Linked DNA regions of Yarrowia lipolytica. The main gene of each other region encodes a partner of the protein of the gene in region 3 in a complex. Links are inferred from orthologs where the notes say so. Each region holds a gene or a part of one and is shown on either strand. Other genes may lie near its edges.

Region 1 (6,496 bases), on a different chromosome or scaffold from region 3:
GCAACTTCAGACATTTGGGGGTTCAGTGAGGACAAGCGCAAATCGCTCACTTGTTTGGTCTCGGTTATCTCGCATTAGGCAACTTTAAGTGGGGTATCGTGTGTACAGTACATACATGTTGAAAGATGAGAGAGGTAGAGAGTGAGTGACTGAGTCCCCGAAGACGGGGGAGAGACGGCGGGGGTCATTTATAGTCATGAGATCTCATTTCCTCACCTCAAATCACATCACGTGACTACATCTCTTGCATCGGCGGCTCCTAACCAGTCCGTCGTCTGGGTGTTCTTCACTACTTTCCAGTGGGTAAATAAGCTCATTCTACTTAGGGGGTGCGGTCCAGCCTTTTGCTTTCAACTGACTAACACGATTCAACGTGAACTCCCATCTACTTGTACAATTGGCCAGCTCCGGCGGACGTACGGCAACTACAAGTAATTAGATTCATACCAATCAACTAAAAATACAAATATTCACTGTCTCTCCGTCTTCTGGCCCATCTCTACTGCGTTTTCTTGTCCTGGGCAGTATGTTTGTTAGCCTTCAGAGCTGCTCCCAACTCGGTCAACACCAGAGTAGCCAGCAGAATGCCCACCAGGTAGAGAGACATGTCGCCATGGCCAGAAAACTCCCACGATGCAAACGCAATGTAGACCACCTTGGTGGCGAGAAAAATGGGCTTGGGGATCTTTATGGCCGTGGTCACAAAGTTGGCCGGGAAACACGCCTCCGTCACCAGTCCTCCGACGTACATAACGTGCAGAAACATGGTGAAGAAGGCCAGTCCAAGCTGCTTGTCGGACAACACCTCGGCAATCTGGCCCATGGGCCAGGGAGCGCCCAGAGCGACCAGTACACCGGCAACACCGGCGACGGAGTAGTCAAAGTCTGTGCCCAGAGGGCCTGCTGGTGGCGGTTGTCGCGGGATCATTGTGTGTGTGTTGATAGGTGCAAGTTTGACAATTGATTTCCACACTATAAAATTATCGTCGCGCGCCGTGGAGATACTGCACCTCCAAGCACGTGGGTATGATAGATGAGGAAGAATGCATTAGTGCTGACAGTGGCAGGTGGTGTGGACGTAGCACTGTTGGAGAAGGGTTTTTTCGTTATAATACGTCTACTGCAACTATAGTGCTTATAGTGAATTGTTGTGTGTGATGTCTCAATCATTGTAAACGGTTTATATATATAGTTATATATATACTGTATTATAATTTCTGCATATACATTCAGTTAATTATAACTTTGCTTTGAAAGAATAACCTTTTTATATACATTTTGTTACTACTGTAGTCACCCAGCTTAGTTGGGAGTTGTGTGCTTACTTGACATGATACTTCATGAAAGCTGTGACGAAACAGAGTCGGTAATTGAGTAACTGAGTCACTGAGTAAGTAGAAACCGCCATTCAAGTCATAATTGAGTCCTAGAAATCTTTTCTGACAAGAATCTAGGGAAAAAACCACTCACCTGTCATACAAACAATGCCTGTTAAAGATCTTCTAACCATCGTCCCCAGATCCACTACGTGCATGCATGCACCACCTAAAGTGAAATAAATCTCGTTCATTAATACTGTTCTCTCAAATCATCACCATCATCCTAAACACAACATGACAACCAGAGCTGCTCTGGAGGAAATGGAGGTGATCGAGGCCGGTATTGCCGAGCGACTGGCCTTCAACCCGCTCATTCTGCCTCCTTCACAGGCCCTGACCCCCAACTCACCTCTCCAACCGAGACTACAGAAGCTGAAAAATGTGCCCTTCACACGACAAGTAGGCACCCCCACAACCCACAGGCAGACAGTGCTGCGCCAGCACGAGATTGCCACGATGCTGGATACGTACCAGAAGCTGGCTCGACGGCTCAAGGCCGAACTCGACGCCCCCAGAGGCAAATCTGGGTCTCGAAATCTGTCTTCCAAGGAACTCAAAGGCGTCATGACGGACTTTTACGCCAAAATCGACAAGATCAAACAGACACTGGTGCCCGGAGAACAAGCTCAAGATATGTACGCCAACTACACTCTCAAACGACCGGCTCTAGACGTGTTTGAAGACGACGGAGAACAGGAGGAGAGCGTTATGAGCCAGGCTGAGAGCAACACGCTTCCCTCAGGCATTTTCAACACAGCTCGAAAGATCAATTTTGGCCAGAAATACACAGACGCCGAAAACTCGGGCAGATACCTCGACATGACCCCTCTATACATTGAATACCAGCAGCAGAGAATGGGTCATGTGGGATACATTGGATTCATCAAATCCTTTTACAACGTCGACATTTATGACCCCCAGACGTGTGCGGCTCTGGGCAAAAAGTACCCTGTGTTCCTCGAGTCCATCGTCTCGTATTTGGAGTCGTTTATCACCAAGAAGCACATTCTGGAGGACCCTCAGAAGACGATTGACTCGATTCGAAAGTCAATAAAAGTGACTGATTCCAAGCAGGACAAGGAGGAGAACCCTGAGTTGTTCTGTAAGTTCTGTGACAAACAGTTCACCAACCAGGCTGTCTACGACAACCATTTGCCTGGAAAGAAGCATAAGAAGGCCGTTGCCCGAGCTGAGAGTGGTGAAACCCCTACACCTACATCTGCTCCCAAGGCTTCTACTGCAGCCGCTCGGACTCCTGAGACGATTTTGGCCCATCTGGAAGAACTGGCTGAATTCCTGAAGTCGACTATTGACAGCACCGTTGCCAATTTGGAACGGAAGCAAGCGCTGACTAATTCCGAGAGACAGGCTGAAATCGCGGCTCAGCAGGACCAGGACCGTCTTACTGACGAAAACCTCAGATACGGACAGCAGAGCGATGGCTCCCCCTGGTCCAAGAAACAAAAGACTGGAGATGAAGATGACGAAGACGAAGATGAGGTCATCTCCAACCCTCTCAAGCTGCCTCTTGGGTGGGACGGAAAACCCATTCCTTTCTGGCTGTATAAGTTGCATGGTTTGGGAATTGAGTACACATGTGAGATCTGTGGAAATACCACCTACCGGGGCCGAAAGATCTTTGACAAGCACTTTTCCACACCCAGACACATCTTTGGACTCCGATGTCTTGGTATCGAGCCGTCTCAGGCATTTAAAGGCATCACCAAGATTGAGGAGGCCAATGCATTGTGGGACCGAATGAAGAAACAGCTCAAGACGGTGGAGACTCGAGAAGAAAACATTGTCGAGGTGGAGGATAGCGATGGAAACGCCATGAGTGAGAAGACCTACGAGGATCTCAAGCGTCAGGGATTGTTGTAGATAACTTATAGCATAATGTATATTACCTAATAGCGGGAAGACGATGTGTCTGTGCAGTGTGTGAATGCTAATTCCGAACATCTTTCGATGGTACAATATCTGATATACAATCAATATTCATGTTAGGTATGGTTTTGTTGTGATTTTCGTACATAATTCATTACGCAGTCGTCACTTCAACCTAGCATGGACCGCTTTCGTCCTCGCTGTCGAACATCCTCCAGTTTTCGCATCACCTCTTTCTGACTCTTGCCGACAACAGCCAGGTATCCTTCAAACAACCAGTCGCAGTACTGTTGACTGTGGACAGGATGAGTACTGAGAACGGCTCGCTCCATGACATATAGATCCACAGCCTTATCTTCGGCCAGAGTGGACACGGAAGCGAGTCCAAAGTCGATGATGACAGGCTTGCCGTCTCTCAACATGACGTTCGAAGTGGTCAGATCGCCATGGACAATGTCAGATTTATGCAACTTGCCGATTTCTTGGCCGACAAGAACCAGGGTGTCCTTCAGAGAAGACACGTCACCATCCGGTAACGATCTGCTCTTATCTCCGGCCTCCTGGGCCCCTCCTTCGGTGTCTCCCTCCTCGTTCCAGATCCACTGCTTCACACTCAGACCTTCGATCTTCTCCATGTAGATGAGTCCGTTTTTGGCATCGATGAAGACCAGATGGGGCACTTCCACGTCTCCAAGAGCCAGCTTCTGCAACACCCGGGCCTCGGCCAGCGTTCTGTGTTTGCTGAGCTGGGCATCAAGTTCCGGAAGACGATATGGCTTCTTGGGTCTGTATTTAACGATGCATTCTTGTTGGGGGAGGTAGGGGTGCTGGGCGGAATACACCAACGACTCAGCGCCTTGTGCAATGAGATTTTCCTGCTTGGACAGCTTCTCCAGCTGCTCTGGAAGTGTGATCATGATGTGGTGGTGGTGGTTAAGGCTAGGAGACGATATGCAGCTTGATACAATTTATTTCCAGTCATGTGATCAGAGAGAATTTAGACCGGTGTAAAATGGGGTATAGGGGAGATGAGAGAAGAGTTGCAAATGGATATAGGTAATGTTGGATTTTTTGATATCATCAGGTTTTATTGTATTATTTATCTCCCCAGGGGGATATATGGAGTGGACATGTTCTTACTTGAAGTTACTCTATAATATACTTGAGTTTAGTTGACCATTTTTCTCCTGACGACAACAACTATTTGGGTGTGAAGAAGCCTCAAAATGACTGTTTTTCAACATTAATCGAATCAGAATGATATATCCAATATGATCATGTATTCACTAATAGGTCTTCACAGCCAAATATACCATCTTTCAGTGCCTCTCCTGTTCCCAAAAGTGCTACAAGAATCAGAAGTTTCACCCTAACATTGTACACACACTTTCCACCATCCAATGACAATGTCCAGTTTCATAGAACGGTGAAAAATGTCCTAAGGAGCAACAGCGTGCTCTTAGCCCATTTCCCCTTTCGTTTTTCGCCCACAATCCACCATCTCCAGATATACGTAGATTTGTATCACGTGACTTGAGATCATCAGCATGCAGACCCCAGATCTGACTCAGCTCTATCTCTCTACAGCTACACGCAACCCCGGGAAATCATGAACATCCTACTGCTCAAGAACCCTACGACGCCGCGAGATTTCTACCAGGAGCTGTTTGTCGAGCAGAAGGGTCACAATGCTGTTTTTGTGCCTCTTCTGCAGCATTCTCCGGTCGGAATCGAATCTCTCAAAACACACATTGCCAACGAGGTGGATGGTATTGACGCCGTGATTGTCACCTCTCACCGCGCAGTTGAAATCCTCGGAGAATACGCCAGTCCAGAGCTGCTCTGCAAACCTGCATACACCGTTGGTCCGGCTACCGCAAGGTGTCTCCGCGAACTGGGCTTCAAGGACGTTCGAGGAGAAGAGACGGGTAATGGAGCCGCTCTTGTGCCGCAACTGTTGTCGGATGGATACCAGCGATTTGCCTTTTACGCAGGAAAGGTGCGACGAGACACCATCCCCAACAAGTTAAGAGAGGCTGGACGAAGTCTGGTGGAGTACACTGTTTATGAGACTGTTGATCTGGACGACATTGCTGGACGGTTTGAGAAGGCTGTGGGGGCGCTCCCCGACGCCAAGCACAACTGGATCTGTTTCTTTGCTCCCTCTGGCACCGCTCAGATTGTGGAGTATCTCAAAAAGAACCCTGCTCATGGCTTCAAGATTGCCAGTATAGGACCTACCACATTGGACTACCTACAGAAGAATGACATCAAGGTGGATGTGACGGCCAAGCAACCCGATCCCGAGCATTTCCTCGAGGCTATGCTCAGTGAGTCGTGAACAGATAGAGATTGACGCACGTTTGGATGGGTAGAGAGGGGGGGGGGGGGGGAATATGGACTTAATACAGGGAATGTTTGTAACGTGTTCAATTGTAGCAATGGATTGGCATTGTTTGTGAAGGTCTACAATAACAGATAAGTCCACCCGTCTCCTTTATACATTATCTGTGAAATAGTAGCTACTTGTACTCGTAGACTATCTACTCACACCTAACAGTCAATCATAACGTTCATAATATGCAAATAGTTCAATATCCAACCGGCGTGGTTACTCCAGCCCGACCTTTCCAAAGGCCTTGTCCAGCTCATTGACGGGCTCCTCCTCCTTGCCGTCCTCCTCGGTGTCCATCTCCTGCTCCTGCTCCACAGTTTCGGTCCTCTTCTGAGGCACCAGAATTCGGTCCACTGAATCCAGGTATCCAGGAGCAATCTTGCGCTGTTCTTCCCGGGTCTGCTGGTCCACGTTCTCCCGCCAGCTCTGGTATGTCGCTACCGCGGCTCTATGATCCTGCTCCAGCTGTTCCAGCTTCTGACTCAGCTGCCCGAGTGTGTCGAGAATATCGTCTTCATTGACCGCCTGCGGCATGTTGGCCGGTAACGACTTGTACTCGAATGGCAGCGTCACGGCTTGTGGGGGTCGAATCGACGGCGATACAATCAGGGGTACCTGTGAGAGTAGTGGATGTGCTGTGTTAGTAACAAGGGCGGCAAGAGGGGGACTTCCAACTGCAAATCTAGCACAGTACTCACGTTTGGTCATTGGTGTCGAAAATGAAAGACAAGTAGCTATCGTGTATCCGTACTTGTAGTTTGATATTCCCGATAACGTACCCGTAGATCTCACATTATGCTGCATCCAGCACACCATTTATGCCTACTGGTAAGCT
Region 2 (6,796 bases), on a different chromosome or scaffold from region 3:
GTGCCCCCCAAGATGGGCAGCCCACTGAAGCTGTCAAGACTGAAACAGACAGCATAAGTGCCGGTGATGTGAAGGAAGAGCCCGTTGAAACGCCTGTTGAGACCCCCAAGCCCACTACTGTTATCACTCTCCCCAACCCCCCTCATACTTCTGTTTGGGTTGATTTCCTGCGAATGTTCCCCAACCCCCTGACTGCTTCTCAACTTCAGAACATGGTCATTGCCCTCAATGATTTCCTGATGGCTATTCCTCTAATCCAGCCCTCTTCCAAGCGAGAAGGATTCGCAACTGTTCCCGATGTCTCCTGGGAGGACGTTGGTGCTCTGGCTCAGGTTAGACAGGAGCTTCACATGGCCATTGTCCAACCCATTCGACAACCGGATCTGTTCAAGATGGTTGGTGTTGATGCTCCTGGAGGAGTGCTTTTGTGGGGACCCCCTGGTTGTGGTAAGACCCTGCTTGCTAAGGCTGTGGCTTCCGAAACTGCCGCCAACTTCATCTCTGTACGAGGACCCGAGCTTCTCAACAAGTACGTGGGTGAAAGTGAACGTGCTATCCGACAGGTGTTTGAGCGAGCTGCTCTATCGTCACCCTGCATTATCTTCTTTGATGAGTTTGACTCTCTGGCTCCTCGACGAGACGACGGCGGATCCGAGCATTCTTCCAGACTTGTCAACACTCTTCTTACCGAGCTTAACGGTCTCACTGAGCGAAGAGGTGTGTACGTTATCGCTGCCACTAACAGACCAGATATTATTGATCCCGCCATGGTTCGACCCGGTCGTCTGGACAAGACTCTGTTTGTGGGCTTGCCCGACGAGAATGAACGGTTTGAAATTCTGTCGAAGGTGTGTCGAAAGCGACCCCTGGCTGCTGATGTCAACTTGCGGAACATCGTTGCGGACTCTCGATGTGGAAACTACTCCGGTGCCGATCTCACCCAGCTGGCCAACGAGGCTGGTCTCATGGCTCTCAGACAGCAAGTGTTCACCCATGGAGCTGAAATAATTCACGATCACAAGGCAGCTCCTCCAAGCAGCATTGAGATTACTAACCACCATTTTGAGGAAGCCTTCAACAAGATCCGACCTTCAGTCACTGACGCAGATCGGCTCAAGTACGACGCTCTCAAGCTCACTTGGTAAGGGGATGACAAAAAAAAAACTATAGATACATGATGCAATGACAGTAATAAAATATACCAATGTAATGCGATGATATTTTTTTTTCAGTACGATTTTCTACTAGTAGTATAAGGATATGAGAAGAACTACGTCGACGGATGTGATATGGAATACCAATAAGTTAGCTATTTATACACTGAGCTCGCTCTTTCTGCTTCGCATGGATCGAATTCCAGGAGTCTCGTTGCGGCGTTCTCCAGATTCCTCTCCGTACATGTTCATGAACTCGGCACCAGAGGACACTGCCACAGATTGTGTCAGAGCCAAGATACGCATGTTCTTGTCGTTGGTGACAAGCAGAGCTCGAACAACGCCCCCACGACTGCCCTTTTGCAACTTGCAAACGGTTCGAGTGATGAGCTCATCCATGGTAGGCTGGCCACGTTTGGGCAGCCCCCCGTAGTCGTTGGTAAAGCGAACAACACCTTCGGCACAAGCTTGCTCGTTGAGAGCAGCTCCATCGAGACCAACAATGGTTAGACTCGATCCTTGGCCCTTGGACTTGATATAGGCCAGAGCCTGTTGCGCTAGGGTGCTCGTTCGGACGTCACGGTTAAATGTCTGCAGTTTCTGCAACTCGTGCATGACCATAACAGGCACTTTGATGCGCAGCCAACCGCTCTCAACCACAGTGACGATGAACTCCAGTTCGTTCAGCCATAGATTGGTATCGAAAATAATGGCCGGCTTTCGTTCACCTGCCAGAGGCGAAGTGGTCAGTTCCAGGTTTTCAATCTTGGACTGAACGCCACACTCCTGGCGCACCATGTCTCGTTTTTTGCACAATGATTGAATGTCATCAGAAGTCACTGACGAGCTCTCTCCACCAATATCGGGCAGAAACTCATGGTATGCTTCGTACTCGGAGATGTAGTCAGGAGCTTCTGTTTTGGATGCCAGACAAGAAGTCAGCTCGGGATCCTGTTCAAGACCGGAATCACCCAGTTTTAACAGTCGAGTATCACATAGCTGTCTGATGAGATCCTGAGCACGCTCGAGCCTAGTACATTCTCCAAGAGTGTAGTCCAGTTGGCCACCCAGAGACATGGTGTTGACAATGTCTTGAGTATCACTGTCAAAAGGACAAGACAAGACCTCTTTGGCCCATGAGAAGCCTCGTAGAAGCAGCTCTTCGGGGAGTTTGGAAACATAGCCCTTGGGAGCTGGGGGGAGTTCGCGAGGGGGAGGGGCCTTTTTGAAATTAAAATTGGACCCAGTTGTGTCGTTGTTGTCAACAGGAACTCGGGCAGTTTTACGCTGGATCTCGTTGAGATACCACAGCATATCCTTCCAAGGGAACCTATGGTCGAGCACCTCGAGGAACACTTTGGGGTGTTTGGTTAGAGCCAACATGAACAGCAGCCAGGGAATAATGTGAGGAAGAGCCTTATCCGATGTGAGAGCTAGATGGGCACGAAGAATGTGAAATGCAACATATTTGTTCGGACTGGGAACAACAACGTTTTCTTCGTCCACACTGTTTCTCCACACTCCAGCTAGAGCTCCCCGACCATACTCATGCAAGCCAGCAATGTTTATGGCAGCGAACATGGCAGATCGAGATGCCAAGAAGGGGCTTGGAGTTCGAGCAATGACAGCGCCCAAGGAAATGAGCTTCTGACGGATGTTGGGAAAGCGACCCTTGGTGACTCCTTCATGAACGGAGACGAAGGAGTCCACGACCACCTCGAGGGGTTCGCGTTCGCCCTGTCGCTGCATCTTGGCTGCCCCAGCGTTGAACAGGGCATCCATTGTATTAGAAGCGGGTGCAAACGGAACCATACAAAGTGTGGCACGACAGAGAGACAATAATGACTCCAGACGGCATGCAAGTACTAGAGCAAAGTGGTGGTGAGGCCGCCCATTGTCGTTGTATGTGAGAAGAGTTCGGCTGTACCACCAATGGGCTACTCCACGCCAGTAAACGGCATCATCTGTTCGAACAGACATGCCAATACGAGCGAGATCCCCAACAGCTTCGGTCCAAGAGGGAAGATTTTTGCCGTCAGCTTCACGGTCAAAGTAGGGCTCTGCTAACAAGAGGAGTGTCTGGGCACAGTGTCTCAGGTGGTCATTCAGGTAACGGGCCGCGTAAGGCTGCAGGTTCCGGGCAATGTGCACAAAGGCATACACTCCTCGGGACCACAGTCTGCTAGGGATGTCGTACTTGTTGACCAGTCCACGAAGTGACGTAGAGTCGTTGTAGTGAGCTGCTCGAAGGAAATCGTAGTGGGCGTCCAGTAGAGCAGCATGCCGCTTAGTGGCATCTGCCAGTAGACGGTTGAGACGCTCTTGACGAATGTCAGTATGCTGTGTGATGCATGGTTCGTCCTTCTGAGGAATCTCCTGTGCGAGTTTCTGCATAAGTCGTCCACACTGATCTTCCAGCTGGCACACTCGGTGGTAGATGTTTTGAAGTTCCTGGTGGACAGCCGACCTGGCAGGAGATGCAGGTGTGGGAGTTGGAGTACTCATCATAGAGGCAGTGGATGTGGTACTTGCGGTCGGGGAGGACATGGTGGCATCATTGTCTTGCTCTTCCCGCATGTCTTCACTTCGTTTGTTGGGTTGGTTGGAGGCTGTATCTCTCGACCGGCGTTTCTTGGGTGTCGGTTTTCGATCTTCTGTCAGCGCAGAAGGCACGGTCAGATGCGACGAATGGATGGCCGGGGTGACCTGGCAGGGCTGCAGAGGCACGCTGCTAGGCTCAGGAGTCATAGTCATAGTCGCAGCTGCTGAGCCTCGTGACACCACAGATGGTGAGGGCTTACGTTCCCGATCTCCGCGTCTGCCATTGGCGGTGTTGGGTCGATTTGCGGGTTTCGAAACGGAACCTTCGGTGACGGGTTTCTTGTTGCGAGACGCCGGCGTGGAGGGCTTGGGCGACTTCTTTCTGGCGGGACGTTTGGCGGTTTCAGACTGTGCGGAAGACACGGATTGATTCGGCGTTTTCTTGTGGCTTCGTTTTCGCTCTTTATTGTTGGCCATTATATGCGTTCATTCGCCGCATTCTCTGGGATGATGGCTAGGGTGGTGAGTAGGCGACGGAGAGTGCGATGCGGGGTGCAATATTTCCGTCTTGGCTGCTGCTGGTCGTAATGTACGTATGCTGAGTGATATAAATTACCTTAGTTAGGATTACATACACAACTGCGCTTACGATTGCTTAGTCAGTTGGGACGCCCACAAAGGGAAGGCCGTAATTTCTGTGAAATTGCCACCGTAAATTAGTCTACAGTAACAATCTCAATTAGTCTTGGAGACGGCGTTGGTCATTATGCTTTAAAATGAGTAACAAGAATGGCCTCCCTGTCTGATCAGTTCTTGAGACATGGCTGCAATGAGATCTGCGTCTTCCTCACCTATCTCAGGTGGCATGCAACATGACAATGCTCACTCACACACGACATACCTGTACTTGTTTTTGTTAACGGTTCTACACCATTGGTCCTTGATATCACACCCGAACTAGCTGATTATTTGATGTTTATTGGTTTTACACGTTTGCCTTTTCTGGTTCGCAGGTTTGCCTCTGGTGCCGTCCAGGGACAGTTACAACTGCTGCAAATCTAGGGAAATTTATTCAGACATCGGCGTTTGTGTGATGACTAATCAGTTGCTAGGGAAATGATCACACTCTGTCCAGATATTGAGGTGCCAGTATGCCAGCTTGACACCGCCGTGCCCCTCCTGCGGCCTCATAAGTGCCCTCCATCTTCACTCGCTATCTCTCACTTATGGTCCAAACTTGTCGAGATCCAGCTCGTCCAAACACTCAATGGCAGTGCCAATGTTGTCCATCATGTTGTTGACACCGACTCGCAAAGACCGGTTAGATGCAGCGGCAAAATGAATCAACAGACTGGAACCCTTGGTGGTCAACTCATGGCTCAGCTCGTCGGCCTTGAGAGGCTTGTCCTGAGATATTGTGGTGCAGACAATCTGAGCCTGTCTGTCATTGGGGAACGGAATCTCCACGTCACTGTGTTAGTTCGTGTCCAAAGCGAGTGTTGTGGCTTCCCCCACATTCTCCTACTCACAGTGTGTATTTGCCTGGCATGGTTGATATTGGTGTGAAACGTTTCTACGGTTGCATGTAGGTCCTGAACTTTGTTGGATTGTGACTAAGATGTGATTAAATGTGATTAAATGTGATTAAATGTGATTAAATGTGGAATAAGATGGATAGATCAGAGAACAATACGAGAGCCGTTGAAATGGATATTTCATTGCATATTACTAATCCAATCATGTGCTCCAAGTGTGAGTCGTTCGATTTATAAAACTTGAAGCCTATGAGCTTCCACGTGCTCTTATCACCCCCAATAGTCTTACGCTTGCTTTCGGACCTTTAAAACCGGCTGTAGACTTTTGGTAAACTTGATATCCGGGGATACTTGGGGATCGTCTCTTGGAAGAGTCCTTGCCTGGGTACCGGTACTTGTAGCTGAGAGAAACAAGAGCAATAGAGCAATACTGTCATTGCATTGTGAGGCTTGCAACCAGAGGCATATAAATGGTTTCTTCTCTGAGTACTCTTACGAGAGATAAAAAATGGCTTTCAACGAGATACTGTAAGGGTACTGTAACAAGCTGTTTCGTAGAGACTCTACAAGAAACCACCTTGTAAAGCCCGCTGATGTAGTACATACATAATAAATGTATTTTTCACCAAATTGCAGCAGAGTTTAGGCCTTTCAGAAACCCCGATTCGGTCGTATGATACGAGACGAAGGTTTCGTTGTCGGCTGAGAGATGCTCGACATTGAACAGACACTGAAACTGCTCAATTACGAGTACTCGTACTAGTATACAAGAAACGGACACTTTGTCCCCATTTCATACAAGTCACCCTCGGTCTCTCAGGGACAGCCTTGCGCGGCGTAGTCATCTGATCTTCATGTTATTTGACTCGTTTGTCGATCTAAACAGAGTAGGGTTGCACAGTAGATACTTCTACATTATCTACGAGCATCCGAGAGTAAGAAGTAGAGTTATAAATTAAATTAATGGAATCGTCGGGTATCTGTCGCTTAGTTGTTAGCGGCAGAGAAGTAAGCCTGATCAAGTCGGTTAGAGGCGGACTTCATGGAAGAAGTCTCGGAGTGCATCCAGGGGAAGAGGTTGGCAATAGAGCCAATGAACTGCTTGATAAAGTCAAGGAAGTTGCCGAAGAGGCTCCTGAAGACGTCACCAATAGTGGAGATGGGACCGTCAGTGAACAGAGAGATAATAGTGATGGCAATCTGCTGCATCACCTTGGCGAAGCCCTCGGAAAGGGGGTTGATGATGAGAGGGCCAAGGGTCTTGGCGACGTCACCGACAATGGGCAGAGTCTTGAGGTCGTCAATCAGAGTGGGGAAGAGGTTGTTGATCTGGGTGACACCCTTCTGCAGGTTGTCGTAGACGGTGCCCTTGGACTTGTCGGGGTGAGTGATGATGTCAAGGGTAGAGGTGACAGTCTTGAGGACGACTCCACCGAAATCAATGAAGTCGTCAATGGTGGAGTTTGCTCGAGCCTCGAGGATAGCACCCTCGTGGACAGCGGGGGCGGCCAAGGCTGTGGAGGCAATTGCAAGGGGGAGGAGGACGTTCTTGATGGCAACCATGGT
Region 3 (7,735 bases):
TGGTCCATTGTAAGTTGTTCTCCTACCAGAGAGAGATAATAGGTTGATTTGTGGGATAGTGGCGGAGGTCCCGAGATGGAGATCCACGAATTCCATTTATGGTAGTTGTTGAAATCAAACAGAATGGCCGAAACCGACTCTGGAGAAGCGTCAATTGTGATTTCAGTGCGAATGGTGACAGGCATGGGGGTGAAGAAAAACATACACATGGTACGACTGAACTGAGGGGTATATATTGACGATCATTGAGCCGCTTGCGAGTATAAAAGGTCTCTGGTTTCGTAAGGTATGTCATCGTTTACATTCCACTAAAGCGGCTGATCCAGACCGTACAGTATGTACCCGTAGTATGTACAGTAGTGTCAATATCTTGCCAACGCAATCAGACGTTAGATTTGGAGCTGATAGACTGGCACTTAATGACAATAGGGGAGAATAAAGCCGTCAAAATTGAACTCATAGTGTATAATTTTCCACTGCTTATTTTACACCTCCTTGATGTCCACAAGATACCCTGCCTCCCATTCCGATGCGTGACCATGTAACACGAGAAACCCATACAAACAGCACAGAGAATATCACCAGTCTTCACCTACCACCAGTTCAGGTGCTGTAAAGAAACGGGTGGCAAACGTCTCAAAAGTGTCCAAACGATATTGAGTGGCAATTCTGAACCAATAAATAGTACCATTTAAGATGTGACGTTGTTTGTATATACAACTGAATTTGAAGTGTATAGCCCTGCTTCGAAAGATTTTTTTGAACAATTGAGAAGTAGACGAACAAGAGAGAGTTGATACTCTGATAGCTGCCAACCATTTATACCCATTGTATCCTTTAGAGCTCCCAAAAAGCTCCCCTCTGGGATATTTTATCCTCCCTCATTCTCAGAGCTATTAATAGCAAGGTTGGAGATACGACACCATGGTCCAAAAATAGTCCAATATCGTTAAAACGTTTTCGGCACAGCCACAGCCGTGTGGTTCCTGGACGCGTTACATTAAACAAATGATTCATCTGTTGACAACAATCGACTATATTCACGGAGATCGGAGTTGCTTTTACTCCGAGCAACCTGGACTAATTACTGCATACAATAGATGAACTTGTATTGGATCTACCGATACTGGTACAGTATGTACTTGTACTATACAGAAAACACCTACTTCTGCTTAATCTCACCCTCCTCAAAAAGCCGGTCCACCGCCTTACCCAATCGCTTGATAGCCTCGTCGAGCAGATCGGGATCCTCATAGGCAAAAGTGAGTCGAATGAACTTGGCCGTTTGACGCAGCTCTTCGGAAGCAGCCATATTGGATCCAGAAACAATCAGAACTCCTTCCTCGATTCCAAGCTCCACCAGTCGCGACTGGTAGGGAAGAGTGACGCCATTAAACGACGAAGACGCAATCTTATCAAAATGAACAAGCGCAGACACAAACATACCACAGACAGGCGTGATGTAGGTGATCTTGGACTGGTCGAGCTTGTCCAGCTGGGCTAGAAGGTGGTTTCGTCGCTCCAGATACTGGTTTCGCAACAGAAGACACCAACGCAACCAGCCCTCAAGACCCCAAGAGTGAGCAATGTTGTTGATCAGCAGCTGAGAAACGCCGGAAGCGGCCCGGGTTGAAAGAGAAGTGTATAGAGATAGCTTCTCAATGAAGTTGACGTGACTGACAATCCACCCAAGTCGAAGTCCCGGAGAAAATACCTTGGAGAAAGTGTCAATTCGAACAACCAGTCCTACATCATCAATGGTGAGGTAAGAGGGAGCGATCAAGGAGGTGTAATGGTCGATATCAGCCTTGGAGATGTCGGATTCACGTGCCTCAGAGTCGACAGACTCGTCATGAGCCTTCTCCGGAGTGTTCAGAGACTTGGAGGAGTTGCCGTTGGTGAATTTCTTGTTGTAGGACTCGTAGGCCAGGGCTCCGTAGGGATCATCTTCGATGATGACGATCCCATGTTCTTTCAGAACAGCATAGATTGCTTTACGTCTCTCCAGAGACTGGGAGACTCCGTAGGGATTCTGGCCAGAAGGAACACTATACAGAACTCGGGGTTTGGGTCCCTGCTTGGCCTCATCCCAGTTTTCAAGGATCCGTTTGAGACCAGTCACGTCGAGTCCCTCGTCATAATCTAGCTTGATGGGAACAAGAATACCTCCGACAGATTTAATGTTGTCAAAGGAGGGAGAGAAGCAGTACTCCTCAACAAGGACATGGTCTCCAGGGTTAATGAGCAGGTCCACGGCCTTGTGAATACCGTCTCCACCGCCATTGGTGATGATCACGTTCCAGTCCTTCTCGTCCAGCTTGGGGGGATGGAGGCGCTTGGTGAGGGCCGTCACAAATTTCTTGAGCTGCGGGTGACCATCTTGTTCGCCGTACTGGAGAGATCGCTCGAGAGTCAGCTGGCCGCCATTGCCGTTTGTCGCAGTTTCCAGCGACTCGGCAAACTTGAGGATCTTGAGGTTCTGGCTCAACCGGGTGCTATTCTCGGTGATGTCGGGGAACTCGACCAGTCCTGGCTTGGAAAACAGAGTCGCAGCAGGCACAAATCGAGGTCGGGGATTGGGACTGGTGGTCAGATTGACGGTGATCTCGTCAATGGGGAACCCAATGGGGTTGGGAAGACCTCCAGAGATGAAAATCGGGTTGGAATGGGGTTTGGTTGTCTTGGCCGTCTGGTTGAGCGTGAAATGGGAATGAGACCGGGCCTTTGAACGGTCAGAAATGAACTTGTCGTGGAAGGACATGCTGGAAACAGTGATGATATAGTTGGTGTAACTGTAACTGTACGTGCTTTCAAAAATGTAGCTGAATGAAGCTGTCTACCTGGGGACCGGAATCAGAAAATGACAAATGGGGGCCGATTGAGTGGATTCCGTGACTGTTGTTTGTGTAACCGCGTTGTCTGTGTAACCGCGTCGTCTGTGTAACCGTGTCGCTTAGATAACCGCGTTGTTTGTGGTTTGTGTAACTAGATTGGAGTTTCTCTCTCCCTCAATTGGCGCCAACGTGTCTCCGGCAAACAGGTGGCTTATAAAGACACACAACAAACGGCATCATTACAAATAAGGTTGTTATCAAACCGACTATCGGAATCCGAAAATGTCAGAAGCGGGGTAATACCTCCGGGTTAACTGCTGTAGGGATGAAAATGAAATTGTAGACTAATTGAGACACAAAGTTTTGAAAAAACGTGTCGGTTTTATCACAGCTCGCCAGAAACACCATTAATGAGACTTATTCCGTCACCAAAAGCCACATGCATGATAAGGTAACCTGCACTGCGGGTGACGTGATCCTGAAATGGAAAGTATATCCGTGGGGTGAACGGGGAAGGATATTGCGATTCTGACCGTTCCAGTTTATTGGCACCAACACCAGGATCACGTGGTTTGTTTCAACATTCTTGTAGGACCAAAACTCATCCTGTGACACCACTCCATTGTAAGATGGATTAGATAAGCCCAGTTGAACTCAGAAATGTGGCAAACGACATTATTGTATCTTAGGAACAACATTTCGGGGGTCTCGGACATCCAAGCCACCTAAGAGGGAGTATTGGGGGTGATTGGTACGATCTTCGGAATCGGTTGTCTGTGCTGGTGATGGTTTTTTTTTTTTTTTTTCCCCCTTTTTTTTTCCTTTTTTTTTTCTTTCGATTCGTCGAAGAAGGAATATGAACTGGAAAGGTTCCCCAATTGGAACAGTGAGTATATCGACTACGCTGATTCTGAATGGATAGCCGAGGTATAGGTGACGTGCGTACTACGTTTTCCACAAGGTCCGTCTGAAAGCTGTGGTATTTTTGCAAGTAGAGAATGGAGTAATGTACTCGTAACTATTGTTCCAACTGGAGTATCCGTTTTAGTTGTTAGTTAGTTGGAACTGAAAATGTCATGGAAACCATCATAAATAGTAATTTTTCGAGAAACTAACACTCAGAAAAAGTAAAGAGAGTATAATTAGCGATATTAACCGTTTTTTCAGAAACAAAATTGCCCTAAATATACCAATATCACCGACTGGTAGTCCCCTTCCCATCGTGCGGCTCATCAATTAATAAGCTTTCCAACCCGACCATGCAGCTTTTGTATCTCAGTCAGTTTTTCAGACAACAGCACAATGACGACTTATCTGAGCTTGGGACTGGAAGGCAGCGCCAACAAACTGGGGGTGGGCGTAATCAAACACACGGTGACGGATGCCAACGCCGAAAACGGCTTTTCCACCGACATTCTGTCCAACATTCGAGACACCTACATCACTCCTCCAGGCGAGGGATTCTTGCCACGAGACACAGCTCGTCACCACCGAAACTGGGTGGTTCGAATCATCAAACGGGCACTCGACGAGGCCAAGATATCCGACCCTACAAAACTGCATTGCATTTCGTTCACCCAGGGTCCCGGTATGGGGGCTCCTTTGCAGAGCGTGGTGATTGCTGCACGAACCATTGCTCAAATGTGGGGAGTTCCGCTTGTGGGCGTCAACCATTGCGTGGGACACATTGAGATGGGCCGAACTATCACGGGCGCCACAAACCCCGTGGTTCTGTACGTCTCTGGAGGAAATACACAAGTGATTGCGTACTCCAAACAGCGATATCGAATCTTTGGAGAGACTCTTGATATTGCTGTCGGTAACTGCTTGGATCGGTTTGCACGGGTGCTGAAGATCCCCAACGCCCCCTCACCAGGATACAATATCGAGCAGCTAGCCAAGAAGGGCAAAAAGTACGTTCCATTGCCATACACCGTCAAGGGCATGGACCTGAGCATGTCTGGTGTGTTGCAGTTTGTGGAGTCTCTGGCAAAGCGGTTTCAGGCAGGAGATCTGGTGGTTGATGGACATCAGGTGACCGCCGAAGATCTGTGCTTTTCGCTACAAGAAACGCTCTTTGCCATGCTCGTCGAAATCACTGAAAGAGCCATGGCCCATGTCAACTCTCAGCAAGTACTTATTGTGGGAGGTGTTGGGTGCAACGAGCGACTCCAGGAGATGATGGGAATCATGGCACGTGACCGAAACGGCTCCGTCTACGCCACCGACGAGCGTTTCTGCATCGATAACGGTATCATGATTGCCCATGCTGGTCTTCTGGCATGGAGACAGGGCTTTGAGACGAAAATGGAAAAGACCCAGTGCACTCAGAGATTCAGAACTGACGAGGTACTGGTAGATTGGAGAGTTTAACACACACTCACAAGGAGTATGTATGGTATATATAAGTGTAATAATACACTGTAACGAGTACATGACGGTATGTACCTGTATTTAATGGTCGTGACTTTGATCATTGTATTACATTAGCTACAGTATTGCTTTTTTTTGCGAGTTTGGAGCTTTACAACTCATCTCGAATGGGAACCTCCTTCTGTTCGGGAACACCGCTGTCAGGAAGAGTATCGTCCAGAGGCTCAGACACAACTGGAAGCTCCAGGTCTATATCTGCTGCAATGGTAGACGACAGTGCCGTTTCCAACGTCTCCACCAAGGTATCCACCAATGTTTCCATGCCCACAGACGGAGTAGCTTCCACCACTGTATCGACTAACGTGTCAACCAACCCCTGCACAGGGTTACCTGGGTTTTTGGGAATCTTAGGACCACTTCCTCGAACGATTCCAAACAATTTGAGAAGGGGCCATGTGATGATCATCAGGGGGAGCTTCAACACCCGTCTGTATAGAATCCACGCCACCACAAGCGCCAAAAATCCCATAGAAGCCATCATTAGAATTCTGTCCTGCTTGTCAGCCTGTTCAAGATGTCGAACCAGCTTCTTGGAGCCTGCCAAAAGCACGTCAAAGGTGGTATACTTTTGCTGCAGCATCTGCATGTCACGCGACGATTCGTCCAGGCTCTCTAAGTGCATTTCTCCTCTCAGAACATTCTGAGAAGCCAGTTGATGAACCCGCTTGAGCGATTGAGTAATATCACGAGACTTGTTGAGCACTGCCTTTTCGCTGGCTTCCTCCTTGACTTCCTTGCGGCCCTCAAACAGCATTTGTCGTTCCTTGAGCAGCGATTTCTCCACATTCTTTGCACTGGTCACCTGGGCCTTTCGGTACAGCACACGCAGGTTGGCGATTTGTTCCGTATATGATTCGAGTGCGATCTGCGACGTCGTGTCTTGAGGGCATGTGGCCTTGTATCGTGCGAATTCCGTGTCCAGATCACGCAGTTTGGTCTGGATGAGGTCGGCCAGCTCTTGACGGACGTCTCGAGACGCCAGAGAGTGTGTACCAAACCGCTGAAGCCGTGAGATGAGTGACAGACATGTCTCAATAAGGGGATCGAGATTGGACATGGTGAATGTGACGAGTTGTGTGTGAGCTGTGTGTGAGTTGTGTGTGAGTTGTGTGTGAGTTGTGTGTGAGTTGTGTGTGAGTTGTGTGTGAGTTGTGTGTGAGGTACGCGTCGTTTAGTCGTTCAATGTGTCCTGTTGAGCTCAGGAATCCGTTTGTATCGTTTCTGTGTCACTTAACCAAACTATCCACGTGTCAATAATGCGAAATATTGTAGGAATGGCTGTTCTGTGGATGTTCTGAGGCGTGTGTCAAGAGATCCACTTGGTGATGTTGCTGCGTGTCAGAAGGTTATGTGGGGAGGTACTGTTCCTGTGGAGTATAAGTAGAGTAGCAACTGAGTGTGGAAGAGGAGTGATCTTGCGCAGGTTTTAGGATAGCTAGAAAGATAAAAACCCTCTCGTGAGAATCACAGAGACCTGATTATTAATTATATGTAATAAAACCCACATATTATCACTCAAGTTTGCCTGGTAAAAGCACAATACTTGTCAGTGCTGCTAAGGAGTTAAGCAGTCTGATGGGATGTTTACTTTGGGTGGGTATACTTGTCTACTTGCACATGTACAAGTACTTGTACAGAACAGGCCATGTGATAGTACAACTACGAGAGGATCATATTTCTGTGATAAAAGAACCCAGTTGACACTTCGGCGAACAGCAATGTCCTACTCCTATCTCTCCCTACCTATTCTTACTAAGCAAACCATACTCAGTTCGATTCCCAGTTCTATCCAACTCAACACACCATGTGGGCCAAAAACATCTCGTTCAGCGTCAAGGAAGCGTCACGAAACGGCTTCAAGGAGGCCGAGGCGCTGACAGTCAACTCCAGCGACGCCCAGCAAAAGGTGCTTAACGACATTCTGCTTGCCAGCAACACGCTTCGACAAAAGGTGGAAGAGACACATGTCGTGTTGAGCCAGGCGACGCCCCGAATCAGTGGATCGCTGGAGAAGACTGTTGGTGGAATGAAGAAACCCGATGAGCAGACACATGTACGCCCATCTACAGCTTGATCTCTGAACCGGGGAAGGTAAATGTTCGTGTCAGTCGCTATCTACACGCTAGCTGAGAATATAGATAGCCGCTGACAGACATGAGGGAGGGTCAGACGACATAAGAGGGACCAGAAGACATACGGAAGGGCTAGCAAACGTGTTTAGAGGTCAAAAAAACACGTCCAATGGGTCAGCAAATGCTTCGGACCGTCTAGCAGATTTGAATGAGCCACTCACTGAAGCTCGACAATGGCTTAGTGTGAGGTCTAGAGCTCTCCAAGAGCTCATTTGACACTCAAAGCACTTGTCCGACCTTTCAATGGTTGGACCCAGTTTTTAATAACAATGGAGTGGTCCTAGGAATGGATGAAGATCCTGCCCCATTAAACACGCGACTCATACAGCTGGTTTT

Evidence for each region.
Region 1: YALI1_C06695g (region 3) and YALI1_F13046g share a complex: the UniProt entries of both Saccharomyces cerevisiae proteins name them as parts of the EKC/KEOPS complex. The link is inferred for Yarrowia lipolytica from reciprocal best matches to the Saccharomyces cerevisiae genes KAE1 and BUD32.
Region 2: YALI1_C06695g (region 3) and YALI1_F28212g share a complex: the UniProt entries of both Saccharomyces cerevisiae proteins name them as parts of the EKC/KEOPS complex. The link is inferred for Yarrowia lipolytica from reciprocal best matches to the Saccharomyces cerevisiae genes KAE1 and PCC1.

The regions. Positions count from the first base shown.
Region 1 is NC_090775.1:1,302,359-1,308,854, reverse strand, and holds YALI1_F13046g (uncharacterized protein), read right to left. Parts: upstream 4,184-6,496; coding exon 3,437-4,183; downstream 1-3,436. Other genes in the region: YALI1_F13088g (uncharacterized protein), read right to left, coding at 1-14; YALI1_F13079g (uncharacterized protein), read right to left, coding at 500-928; YALI1_F13072g (uncharacterized protein), read left to right, coding at 1,614-3,260; YALI1_F13039g (uncharacterized protein), read left to right, coding at 4,876-5,607; YALI1_F13023g (uncharacterized protein), read right to left, coding at 5,878-6,477. UniProt on the Saccharomyces cerevisiae protein: Component of the EKC/KEOPS complex that is required for the formation of a threonylcarbamoyl group on adenosine at position 37 (t(6)A37) in tRNAs that read codons beginning with adenine.
Region 2 is NC_090775.1:2,816,073-2,822,868, forward strand, and holds YALI1_F28212g (uncharacterized protein), read right to left. Parts: upstream 5,245-6,796; coding exon 5,225-5,244; intron 5,167-5,224; coding exon 4,920-5,166; downstream 1-4,919. Other genes in the region: YALI1_F28146g (uncharacterized protein), read left to right, coding at 1-1,145; YALI1_F28202g (uncharacterized protein), read right to left, coding at 1,314-4,172; YALI1_F28222g (uncharacterized protein), read left to right, coding at 6,194-6,796. UniProt on the Saccharomyces cerevisiae protein: Component of the EKC/KEOPS complex that is required for the formation of a threonylcarbamoyl group on adenosine at position 37 (t(6)A37) in tRNAs that read codons beginning with adenine.
Region 3 is NC_090772.1:665,364-673,098, forward strand, and holds YALI1_C06695g (uncharacterized protein), read left to right. Parts: upstream 1-4,136; coding exon 4,137-5,207; downstream 5,208-7,735. Other genes in the region: YALI1_C06655g (uncharacterized protein), read right to left, coding at 1-209; YALI1_C06681g (uncharacterized protein), read right to left, coding at 1,163-2,761; YALI1_C06716g (uncharacterized protein), read right to left, coding at 5,359-6,324; YALI1_C06724g (uncharacterized protein), read left to right, coding at 7,072-7,320, 7,406-7,580, 7,657-7,735. UniProt on the Saccharomyces cerevisiae protein: Component of the EKC/KEOPS complex that is required for the formation of a threonylcarbamoyl group on adenosine at position 37 (t(6)A37) in tRNAs that read codons beginning with adenine.